2 linked regions of the Caenorhabditis elegans genome follow. The protein of the gene in region 2 purifies or fractionates together with the protein of the main gene of each other region. This does not show direct contact. Each region holds a gene or a part of one and is shown on either strand. Other genes may lie near its edges.

Region 1 (4,977 bases), on a different chromosome or scaffold from region 2:
CACAGCGAACCCCTTCCATTCCCACGGTCCTCTTCTTCTCCGCCAAAGGTCATACTCATCTTCCCATAGTCCGCAATTACACCCCCTCCCCCCTCGACGCACAATTGCGTACCCCACCCTCCTCTCAGCGTCTCCAGCCGTCATCCCTTTTCTCTGCCCAATTCATATCACACATTTTCTCTTTCTCTCTTCCCATTCACTCTTTTCTTTTCGTTCCCTGTTTTTTTGTTACAATGCACGTGTGTGTTTATACTGCTCTCTGAGGGAGAAAAAATCAGTAAATATATCATTTCTGTGAGGTCCGTTTTTTTTTAGTCCAAATAGGCTGTAGTAGGCTGAAAAAGCTTACTTTAATTACTATATTAATCGAAAAAGAACGTAAATTGACAACATTTATTGCTCAAATTTGAAAAATTGCTGCATTTTTGAGCATTGTAATTAATTACAACACACATATATATATATAATTTTAAAAAATGACGAAATTTAATTTTTGAGCAAAAAGAATTGTCAAATTTCGTTTTAGTAGTACTTTTGTACTTTTGTTTAAAATCCCAATTAGAAACGTTACTTTGAAAACTACCATATTCTTGAATTTTTTATTTCAAATTTCGGTTATAAACGCTATTTAATTCCCAATTTCCAATGAGCCTCTACTAGAGTCTTCCCCAATTAGAAATCGATACCGAAAATTCCATTGTTACCCCCCATGTACTTTCCCATGTCTCTATTTGATGGGTGGCTAATCAAACAATTACCCCTTCCCTCCCCCCACCCCGCCGACGTGTATGTTCTGTTTAGCTTAACAGAAGGTACCCGCTCCACCAGTGATAAGAATTGTTTCACTGTGTTGTATGTGTTTGCATTTCGGAACAGGAAAACGTTTGGTGGTGGGGGGACATAAAAGTTACATAAAACTTTTTTTTTGTTACTTTGCGAAAATCGAAATAAAAGTAGCGATCTTGTGATATCGGAGAAATTTAGGGTTTACTAGTATTCTTGGGAGGGAAAATCTCAAAAAATCCGAATTTCCAGACCCAAAAGGCCCTTAATTTATATAAAGTATGGTTTTCAGAACTTAATAGCTTGGTTTTAACTATTCATATTAGTTTCAGCCTAAAAATATGACATTTTTTAAAGTTTTAACCAAAAAGTTTCTCGTCGAACCTATGAGTTTTCCCACGTGGTGTGGTAGGTTGTAACGGTGTGATCTACAAAAATGCGGGAATTTTTTTCCCCAAAAAATGTGATGTCAGCACAGTGTTAACCATGCGAAATCAGTTGAGAAGTCTGCGGCTAAATTCGCGCATTTTTTGTAGATCTACGTAGATCAAACCGATATGGGGCATTCTGACATCACACCAATTTTCAGCTTTTTCCTGGATTTCTAGGTACAAAATTGAAGTTTTCAACGCTTTTTTGGAGATTCCCACGGATTTTTAGCTATTTTCAACGGCGGTTTTCGGTTTTCCAACACCCACAGCTTTAGAAAATGCAAAATCCCGTCTAAAATCTAGAGGAATGACGAATTTTTGCGAAAAAATCTGTTTATCCTCTGCTCATCCCCTCGTAAAGCCCGCTGTCAACACCTTTTCTTAATTAAATTTTTTTGCTCCAACTCCGTTCTCACGTGGTGCCAGGCTGTCCCATTACGGTTTGATCTACAAAAAAATGCGGTTTTTTTTGCCCAGAAAAATGTGAAACCATACAAAATCAGTTGAGAACTCTGCGCCTCTTCTCCCGCATTTTTTGTAGATCTACGTAGATCAAGCCGAAATGAGACACTTTGACACCGCGTGCTTTCTCTTCAATTATAGCTTTTTCTCCTGAACTTTTGCAGTTTTATAGCGTAGGTAGGCAGGCAGGTAGGCATGCCTGAATCTGTATTTTCCTTTTTTTGTATGTTACATGCTTCTCTTTTATGATATATCTCAAAATTCCAAATTTCCAGCTCACCAAGCAAAATGAACGGAGACACAGACGCCTCGTCATCTAGGACGGGAGCTCCACGAAAACCGCGCCCAGAAATTCAAATCTACCGTCCAGGAATGCTCCGCCAGGGAGGGAGCACGAAAAGCTTGAGCTCTACGAACGAAGAAGCACGACCACCACGCCCGGAGAAGTTGAACACAACAACGACGACGATGTCGGGCAATTCCAGACGAAGAAGCAACGATACGGACAGTGTGACGTCACGTGGTGGATCTGGAAGTACGACGCCCGATGCAAATGTGATTAATGCCATGAATGAGCGAGGTGGAGGAAGGAATCGATTTGAGAAAGGCTATCGACAACAACAGAGAACAGATGGGCCATCGAATTATGTAAGTTTTTATCTTATCGCTCAAAAACCAAAAGTTCTACCCTAACACTACAGAAAAAAACTGAAATTACCTAAAACCCTCAAAAAATTTTGGAAAAATTCATTATCTAGCACGGGGAAACGGTGTCAGAGTGCCTCATTTTGACGTGATCTTCGTGGATCTACAAAAAATGCGGGAGTTGAGACGCAGAGTTCTCAACTAATTTTGCATGGTTAAGAACGTGCTGGCGCCACATTTTTGGTAATAAAAATTCCCGTATTTTTCGTAGATCAAACCGTGATGGGACATCCTGACACCACCCTCAGCAAATTTTGAAAAACTAATATTTTAGCATGATAAAAGCCCCAAATTCAGCTGAAAATGTCTCAAAATACCTTAAAAGCACTAGAAAACGACTTGAATTAACGGAAAATCTTAAAATCTATGGCAAAACTGATATTTTTACGGGAAAAGCCAAAAATTTTCAGTAAATCTCTCGAAACCCAAAGTCTTCACTATGAAGTAGCTGAAATTGACTGAAAACCCTCAAAAATTGTTTAAAAACTCATTATTAGCACGAGAAAATACCTTAGTTGGCTGAAAATCCCCAAAAACGCCAAAAATCCAAATATTTAACTCTAAAGCCACTGTGGAACGGCTGAAGGTAACTCAAAATCCTCAAAATTTGAGAAATCACGTGGTATCAAGTTGCCCCATAACGGTTTGATCTACAAAAATGCGGGAATTTTTTGGCCAAAAAATGTGACGCCAGCACGTTCTTAACAATGCGAAATCAAATGAGAACTCTGCGTCTCTTTTCCCGCAATTTTTGTAGAACTACGTAGATCAAGCCAAAATTGGAGACTCTGACACCACGTGAGATCACGTATTTTGGCTCTGGAATTTAGCTGGAAAAGGTCTCAAATTCTCATGAAACCCGACTGAACCCAACTTCAAACTGGCTGAAAACTTATATTTTGTCTCGAAGACTCCAGGAAAAAAGCTAAGAATTGCTCAAGATTGAACTCAAATCCCCAGAACTAGACAAAAGTCTGAAATTGACTGAAAAGTTGCACACCCCTACAAATGTCCCAAATCCCACGAAAACCATTCCAATTCCAGAATTCCACACAATCCCTCTACGACACACGGCAACATGGTGGCTATATGGAGTACCAGGGCAACCACCGATCGAATCACCGGAATAATGGGAGATACAGTAACCAGCAGCATCAGCAGCATCGGCAACCGTTCGAACGACCCGGCGGAAATCATTATGTAGGTTATCAGGTTTTCTTAATGGAAGTGTCTGGGGGGGAGAAGGGGTGAATTAATTAGAATTAATGGGATGTGTGGGATGTGAAGTGATCAGTAAGGTATGATGGGAATATGGAAACTTTAGGAAAAAAGAAATTTTGGGGAAAAAGAGATAAATCGCTCAAATTCTAGTCTAAAACTGTAAAACTTAGTAGAAATTGTACCAAACAGCTGAGAAAAGCTTTAGAAATTAGCCCACTTCAAGAAAATTCACGTCTAGTACAGAAAGCTAGAGATTTTATCAATCTGGACAGTTTTCCATACAAATTCGAGGTTTTTACTGGTGAAAACTGTCAGAATTTGAGAAATTTGACAATCTGAACTTAGAATTACGTTTAATACCGCCTTAAGAAGGCATGATACCGTTTCGAATTGTAAAACTCTGAACAACCTTAGAAAATTGTCCGTTCTCGAAAAAAAACATAAATTTTTGCGGAAATCACCATTGAGTACGATAGTCAAGTACGCAAACACGACGCGCATTTACAAAATTGCGTATCAAATATTTTTTGAGCTAAAGCTTTTTTTGTTCAAACAACCAAACTTTTAAAGCTAAATCTTTTCAATTTCCAGACCCGCGGCTTCAACGAGCGAGCTTCCATGCGCGGGGACGGCGCCATCGCCCGACGTCCTCAAGGATCCCGTCGCCAACGCAACGATTCCATCAACTCTACCCAATCAGAAATGCCACCTCAAACCGGTGCTCAACTTCACATTGACACCTCATTCGACTCGGCATCTCAGTGTGGAGCCTCATCGAATTTCTCGATGAATTCCCTTGGCGAGGCGTTCAGTTTCGAGGAAATGTGCCAGAACCTGCAGAATTTCGCGTCGATGGATTGGAGTAAAGAGGTGGAAAATGAGTTTGCAATGCAGAAAGAGCAGGAGGAAGAGGAAGAGCGACGGATGGAGCAGAAGCTTCAAGAAGCTGCTGCTCAGGAAGCTCAGAAAGCGGCGTCTCCGAGGAGAAATAACCGAAGGAATAATCGAAGAGGTGGAGGCAACAGTCGGTACCATCCCGATGAATCCGACAGAGAAAGCTCGTTCGGTGGAAGTATCGCCGAGGAAAAAGAGGAAGAAGAAGCCGAGGAAGAGCTCAAAAGTGGTGAGAGAACTCCGACTTCTGTGCGAAGCGGCAACTCTTATAATCCACGTGTTCTGTACCAGAGAACACGTGGAGCCAACGACGAGAACCATCCGAAACGAAGAGACGCCGCCGTGGAGAAGAAGCCGAAAGAGCCGAGACGGTACCGCGGTGAGCATGACGATCGGGATGATGATGCTTCGGAGTATCATGGAACGCTGGAGAACCATATGTCGTCGGGACGTCTTGCTGGGAGAATTCAGATTGTGCAGC
Region 2 (7,643 bases):
GTTTTAGATCTCCTCTCTCCTCACCTCACGCCTACACAATTTTCACTTTTTACTTTTATTTCCCTTTTTTCTTTCCCAACGGTCTACAATTTCTTTCCCAATGGTTATTCTTTTTCATTTTTTTCTCTCAATATCTTTCCTACCATGACTATTACGTTGTCAATATTTTCGTCTTCCAAACTTTATGATTCCTTTATGAAATTCTTTTATGCCTAAACGTGGAGTAATAGGGATTTTGATTTTAAAAAAAGTCCAAAAAAGTTCCCAAATTCAGAAAAAAACACAAAAATCCGCTGATTGGTCCAAAAGTGGGCGGAGCCAATCGCTGATTGGTTGTAGTGCACATTTTGGAGAGAATTGTGATTTTTTCTAAACTTGAGACATTTTTGAACTTTTTAGTGTAAAAATACATAACACACAGCTATGGAATAATCAAAAAATCGACAGGAATTGTGTGCATATTTCCGTACTCGTTGTATCGAACGATGGCCGTGCGATTCGGCAGAAGCTCGGTCACGGTCGCCGGATAGAGATTGCCGTCGGTCCACGTGGCAAGGCACTGAGCTCCGACACGCCATTGGGGGCCACCGGTCTGTTGTTGGTGGGATTGTTGAACTGAAATTGAATGAAAATTTAAAAAAAATGTATTTTTGCACATTTTTGACTTAAAAAAATCTATTTTGCTATAAAAAAATTGATCGAAAAATTCATTTTTTCCAAAAAATTACATGAAAACTTTTTTTTCGACAAATTCCAAAGAATTTCCAATTTTTCGATAGTTTTAAATTCTAAAAATTTTTGAAAAACCAAAAAAAAATTCTAAACAATTTAGTTTCAAAATTTCCTTTTTTTTAAGCTGAAAATCAAAAAATTCTCGAATTTTCGCTTTTTTGATCGAAAAAACGCCTAAATTTCTAGTTGTCCTCTCGGAGTTCACAACTTTCGATGGAGCCCGTATTACTGGAATACAAAATTCTAAGAATGCGTATTAAACAACATATTTGAAGCGCAAAAATATCTCGCAGCGAAAACTACAGTAATTCTTTAAATGACTACTGTAGTCGATTTACGGGCTCGATTTTCGAAATTACGAATGAATTAATATTTTTCACTTCGAAAATCGAGCCCGTAAATCGACTACAGTAGTCATCTAAAGGATTACTGTAGTTTTCGCTACGAAATATTTTGCGCGTCAAATATGCAGTAATCCTTTAAATGACTACTGTAGCGATTGTGTCGATTTACGAACTCGTTTTTCGAAAATATTTTTTCTCGAGCTCGTAAATCGACACAAGAGCTACAGTAGTCATTTAAAGGATTACTGTACTTTTCGCTACGAGATATTTTGCGCGTCAAATATGTTGCGCAGTACGCATTCTCAGAATTTTATGTCTTCGTAATACCATTTCTCGGCTCTTGATGCCCGAAATTTCCCATTCCACGTGGAGCTCCATGATAGGATTGCCCTTGATTATTTCCACGTGGTGGTGGATTTTGTTGAGCCTGTTGTTGGAAGCCACGTGGATGATGCTGTGATGGTGGTGGTGGTGGTGGTCCCTGTTGAGATCCTCCGTGAAATTGGCCGCCACGTGGAGGTCCCTGCTGGAAGAAATAGTTTCCGGTGCCACGTGGCGGGCCTTGTTGCTGGAAGTTCCCTTGATTTCCACGTGGCGTCTGATGAGGCGCTCCTTGCTGGAAACTCTTCTGATTTCCACGTGGATGCCCTTGATTCGAATTTTGATTGAAGCTTCTAGGCGAATTCTGGAAATTTCTAGATACTTCTCTAGGCTGCTGGCCTACTGAGCCTGTGCTCGGACGCTGCTGACGATCGCGATCTCGAAAATAGTCGGCTGCTCTATTTTGTGGGCCAGGATTCTTCGGGCCACGGTTACCGTCACGGGCTGCTGCTGGGCGCTGATCTGAAAATTTTAATTTTTTTAAAAATTCTTTATTAGGTCGGATTTTGAAAAAAAATTGTTTTCTTCGCTAAAAACCCAAAAACTGAAATTTTCACACATGTTACAGTATCATAGATTCAAATCGAAGGCAAACGCGCTCCACGGACAATTTTCAACGCTCCGCCCCCGAGCTATGGGTCTCGTTAGGTATTTGGCGGCAAAACCGTAAATTCAAATATTTCGACAATTTTCAAGGACTTTTTGCAGTTTTTATTACGTTTTCCGTTGTCTTTACTGATTTTCATGCCGAAATTGATGAGATCAAGTCTAAAAAAGATCATTTCGGCATAAAAATCAATAAAAACCGAGAAAATCACAACAAAAATAACAAAAAAATGCTTAAAAATCGGCAAAACGTATTGAAAATGTTTGAATTTTTACGATTTTTCCGCCAATTACCTAACGAGACCCATGACTCGGGGGCGGAGCGTTTTTAATTGACCCTGGAGCGCGTTTTCATTTCAAAACGACTTTTTTCTGCGCTTCTATAATATAAAATTCGATTTTTAACTTAAAAAGATTTTTTAAAAATTTCTTCAAAAAAGTAATTATTTCTGAGAATTTTCGTTCCAAAATCCGGAAAATCGAATTTTTTTTCCCCGATTTTTCGATTTTCCAGAAAATAACGAATTTCTGGCTTCCCCCATAAATTGAAATGGAAGAGTTTGCCAAACTAGGCCATTTTGGCTCGGCCATATCTGGGGTAGATTTACGGCGCGTTGCGTGTCACGTCGCGGCTCGATTTTAGTTGTAAAACTAAATGTATTTGTCCGTGTGGAGTACACGATACTTTCTCACGCGTTGTCCGGCAGGCGATTGTCAATGGAGCGCAAAAAATTCAATGAGGAAGGCAAAGAACCCCGTGAAAACTCAAATTTTTTCGTTTTTTTTGAATAGCGCACGGGGTTCTAACCTTCCTCATTGAATTTTTTGCGCTCCATTGACAATCGCCTGCCGGACAACGCGTGAGAAAGTATCGTGTACTCCACACGGACAAATTCATTTAGTTTTACAACCAAAAACGAGCCGCGACGCGACACGCAACGCGCCGTAAATCTACACCAGATATCACCAAGCCAAAATGGCCTAGTTCGGCAAACTCTTCCATTTCAATTTATGAGGTAAGCCAGAAATCCGCGATAGCGGAAAATCGAAAATTTTAGTTTTTTTTTTTCAATTTTCTGGAATATTCAAAAATTTTCGAAAATCTGATTTACTTTGCGGAGCAGAATTTTTCGGGCCACGGTTATCGTCACGGGCTGCTGCTGGTCGCTGATCTGAAAATTTTCCGGATTATTTTCTCCAAAAAAAAATTTTTTTTTTCGAATCGCCTACCTCGCCTACCACCTGCACCTGGATATTTGAAATTCTCCGAATTTTTCACATTCAATTTTCCCATTTTTTCAGTCAAATGCTGTACATTTTGCGGAGGAAGAAGCTCCACAGCCTTCTCAGATGCTCCGGCTCCGGCTCCTCCACCGATAAAATCGAAAAGTGTCGCCGGCCCACTTGGCTTGTGATTCGCGTACTCTCCAACATCCACGTCCGGCCCATCTTCACTATTCTTCCGGCCGCGGCCTTTTCGGGCCGGCCTGGCGGCCGGAACTCGCCGCTCTTTCGGTGGAGCTGGAGCTTTTACTGGTGGTGGAGCAAGATTCGGTTTTGCGAATGTCTTCGCCGTGTCGGAATCCAAATCCTTTAGGATTTCAGCTCGATTCTTCGAGAAATCATCGTCAGCGTCTTCTCCTTCTTTTTGAGTTTTTGGCATCACACTATTCGCCTTAAATCCCTTCTCCAGTTGACCTTTCTGTCCACGTTTTCCAAAGGATATCCATTTTGGGGCACCGGTTCCTGGAGAAAAAATTATTGGCTTACGTGCCTACCGCCCCCGCCTGCCTGCCTACCTGCCTCAAATTTGTTATTTTGAGAACGATAGGCAGTTTTATGCAAGTTTTCAAAAGTCTTTTTGAATTCCTACCTATTCTCAGAAATTTATTGTATTTTTATAATCGTGTAAATTTTGATGAAAATCTCAGCTCCGCCCATTTTTTTGCTCTTTTTTCAAAGTTTTTGTCCGAAATTCGAAATTTTATTTGTTTTTCGGTTGAAATGGGTAATTTAATTTTATAAAAAGGTTAATTTTTGGATAATTTATTTTTTGTTACAAATTTGAATTTTTTTATTTATTGCTTCTTGGCCAAAAATTGGAATGAAATAATTTTTTGCCCGAAATTCAGACAATTTTTTCAAGTTTTTTTTTTCATTTTAAAATAACGTTTGCAGTACTGTTTTGGTCTTAAATTTTTAAATTTTTATTTTAAACCTTTTTTCAGTAGAAAATTGGTCGTCCAAAATTAAAAAAAAAATTTTTTAGGGCGAAAATTCAAAAAAAAAAATTTTTTTTTAATGTTTTTGTATAAAAATTATTTTGTTATTTTAACCAAAAAATCGAAAAAAAAAGATTAATTTTTTTGGTATAAAATTTAGAGAAAAAGTGTTTTCGAAAAAATTCATACTCAAAAAATTAAAAAATAATTTAAAAAAAAATTTTTTTAAAGAATTTTCAACCAAAATTAATTAGTTTTTATTTTAGGACGAAATATTATTACGAAAACACAAAATTCTGAGAATGCGTTTTACACAACATATTTGACGCGCAAAATATCTCGTAGCGAAAACTACAGTAGTCCTTTAAATTACTACTGTAGCGCTTGTGTCGATTTACGGGCTTGATTTTCGAATTGAAAAAAATGTTAATTCATTCGTACAAAATTCCGAAAATCAAGCCCGTAAATCGACACTAGCGCTACAGTAGCCATTTAAAGAATTACTGTAGTTTTTGGTTCGAGATATTTTGCGTGTCAAATATGTTGTGCAATACGCATTCTCAGAATTTTGTGATCTTGTAATAATCCATCGAAAGTAGTGAACTCCGAGAGGACAACTAGAAATTTATTCGTTTTTTTTTTCAATTTGAAAAAGCAAAAATTCGAGAATTTTTCGATTTTCAATTTAAAAAAAATTGAAATTTAAAAATGTAGAATTTTTTTAAATTAATTTTCTAAACATTATATTTTCGATTTTCAAAGAAAATCGAAAAAAAAATCTAATTTTTCAGATTGGGATTTTCTAAATTTTGGAATTTTCATACTAAATTTTTAACAGTAAAAACAATTTTTTTCGGTTTTTCAAAATTTTCGAAAGAACCTGAATTTTTTTTTGAATTCTTTGACAAATTTTTGCTTGTCAAAAACTTTCGAAAAATTGAAAATTATCTGGTATTTTTCATTAAAAATTTTCAATGAAACAATTATTGTTAAAAAAATTATTGGGAAAAAAAAATTTAGTTTTTTTTCGCTCATTTTTAAAATCAAATTTTCAGAATTTTGTATTCGAGTAATATTTAAAATAATGTTTTTTTTGTTAATTAACTGTTAACTTAACTAAAAATTATATTTTTTGTCAAAGTTCAGAAAATTCAATTTTTAAAAAAATTTGCTTCAGAAAAATCAATATTTTTTCCGAATATCTACCTTTCCCAACACTTGACTTGAATCCACCAGCTCTAACCGAACTCTTTTCCACATTCCATTTCTCAATCATCTCATCAACCTTTCCACCCAAAATCCGTATATCCTTCTTCCCCAAAATCAAAAATCCTCCTTCAACATCAACTTTTCCCAATATCAAAATCTTGGTTCCTGGTGGTGTGTCTGAAGTGATTCCAGGAATCGACTGAAGCAAAAGCGCCGAAATTGAAGAATGTCCATCGGTGAAGAAAAGACGAATTATTGAGTGAGCCGGATCTGTCTGATTGAGCTCTTCCTTGATACGTGGCACTGACACATTTCGATAACGAAGTAGTTGGAGGACACACGGGCCTTCGAATACGAAATCTTCCTTTTTGAGCAAATTTATTATACTTGCTTCACCGAAATTTCGCAGATCCTCGTTGAGAATCACTTTTTCAATTTCCGAGCCATTTTTCGGTAGGAGCTCATCGTCGAAGAGCTGCGAGGTTTGTGACTCGTTGATGTACCAGCCGTCTTTTCGAAGTTGATCCATCTGGAATATTATGGGAAATAGAATTTGGATATGGAGCAGAAGAAAATTTCTAATTTTTCAACAAAAATTGTTTTTTTTCTTTTTTGAAATGCTCTAAATCAGGAGTGGCCGGCAAATTTTTTTCGTCGACAAATTAGGCAAATTGCCAAATTTTCGGCAAATCAGCCGGTTTGCCGGAAATTTTCAATTTCGGCAATTTGCCGTTTTGCCGGAAATTTTCAATTCCGGCAATTTGCCGTTTTGCCGGAAATTTTCAATTCCGGCAATTTGCCGTTTTGCCGGAAATTTTAAATTCCGACAATTTGCCGTTTTGCCGGAAATTTTCAATTCCGGCAATTTGCCGTTTTGCCGGAAATTTTAAATTCCGACAATTTGCCGTTTTGCCGGAAATTTTCAATTTCGGCAAGTTGCCGTTTTCCGGAAATTTTCAATTCCGGCAATGTGCCGTTTTGCCGGAAATTTTCAACTCCGGTAATTTGCCGTTTTGCCGGAAATTTTCAATTCCGGCAATGTGCCGTTTTGCCGGAAATTTTCAAATCGGGCAATTTGCCGTTTTGCCGGAAATTTTCAATTCCGGCGATTTTCCATTCATTGATCCAAAAATTCCGAAAGAATGAAAAATACAACTTTTAAAAACGTGATTTTTTACATTTGGTTCATTTTCTCGTTACGACCGATCAGCGATTTGCTCCGCCCCCTTGTTAACCAATCATATGAGTGGGCGGAGTTCGAAGACGCTGATTGGTTCAAAACAGGAAGTTCTGGCTTAATTCTAAATTGGCGAAACTCTCAACCAATCAGCATCTTCGAACTCCGCACACTCCCTCTGATTGGTTCAAAAATGGGCGGAGCGAATCGCTGATTGGTCGCAGTTCTCATTTTGCGGAAAATTCAATATGAAGTTTGAGAAATGGATTTAGGATTTTTCCACTTTTGAAAAAAAAATTTTTTTGAAATGTTCTAAATATCAAGCAAATAGGAATTTTCAGAGCATAACAAATTAAATTGATGTATTATTTTTTTTCAAAATTTCGAGTATTTCTTCAAAAAATAAAGATTTCAATTATCAGAAGATTAAAAAAAAATTCTGGAATAAAAAAACTTAAGAAATTTGAGTTTAAAAACTTAATAAAATTCAACTTTTTCAAGGTTTTTTGAAAAATTAAAGTAGTGATTTTTATTGGAATGCTCTGAAAATTCCAAAATATTCAGAAAATGTCAATATTTTTAAATTCTAAACTTTTAGAGTCGAAAAATTATTTTGTTAAATAAATGTACTAAATTTGAGAAAATCCCGAAGAGGAATTTAAAAAAAAACTCAAAAATGTGTATTTTTTAAAGAAAAAATGCGCGAAATTCAAACTTTTCCATAAAAAACTTTTAGAAAACAATTTCTCTAGGGTTTGAATATAAAATTCAACAAAATAAATATTATTGGGATTATAAAAAACCCAAAAAAATTTTTTTAAAAAATTCAATTATAAAACAAAAATATATGATTTATATAAGGTCTGTACATTAAAATGTTTGAAAAATTCAAAAAAAATTGGTCAAATTTGGGGTTTTTTGTATCAATTATTGTTACACACACGTGGCAAGTAGATTATGGTGGGCGAGAAA

The links. Proteins that work in one complex are often made in the same cells at the same time.
Region 1: the proteins of tdrd-3 (region 2) and smg-6 fractionate together in Caenorhabditis elegans (co-fractionation; one large-scale study listed by BioGRID). This does not show direct contact.

The regions. Positions count from the first base shown.
Region 1 is NC_003281.10:2,471,917-2,476,893, forward strand, and holds the start of smg-6 (PIN domain-containing protein), read left to right. Parts: upstream 1-1,951; 5' UTR 1,952-1,964; coding exon 1,965-2,324; intron 2,325-3,425; coding exon 3,426-3,581; intron 3,582-4,193; coding exon 4,194-4,977.
Region 2 is NC_003283.11:939,222-946,864, forward strand, and holds tdrd-3 (Survival of motor neuron-related-splicing factor 30), read right to left. Parts: upstream 6,024-7,643; coding exon 5,492-6,023; intron 3,810-5,491; coding exon 3,294-3,809; intron 3,236-3,293; coding exon 3,176-3,235; intron 1,920-3,175; coding exon 1,404-1,919; intron 616-1,403; coding exon 422-615; 3' UTR 170-421; downstream 1-169.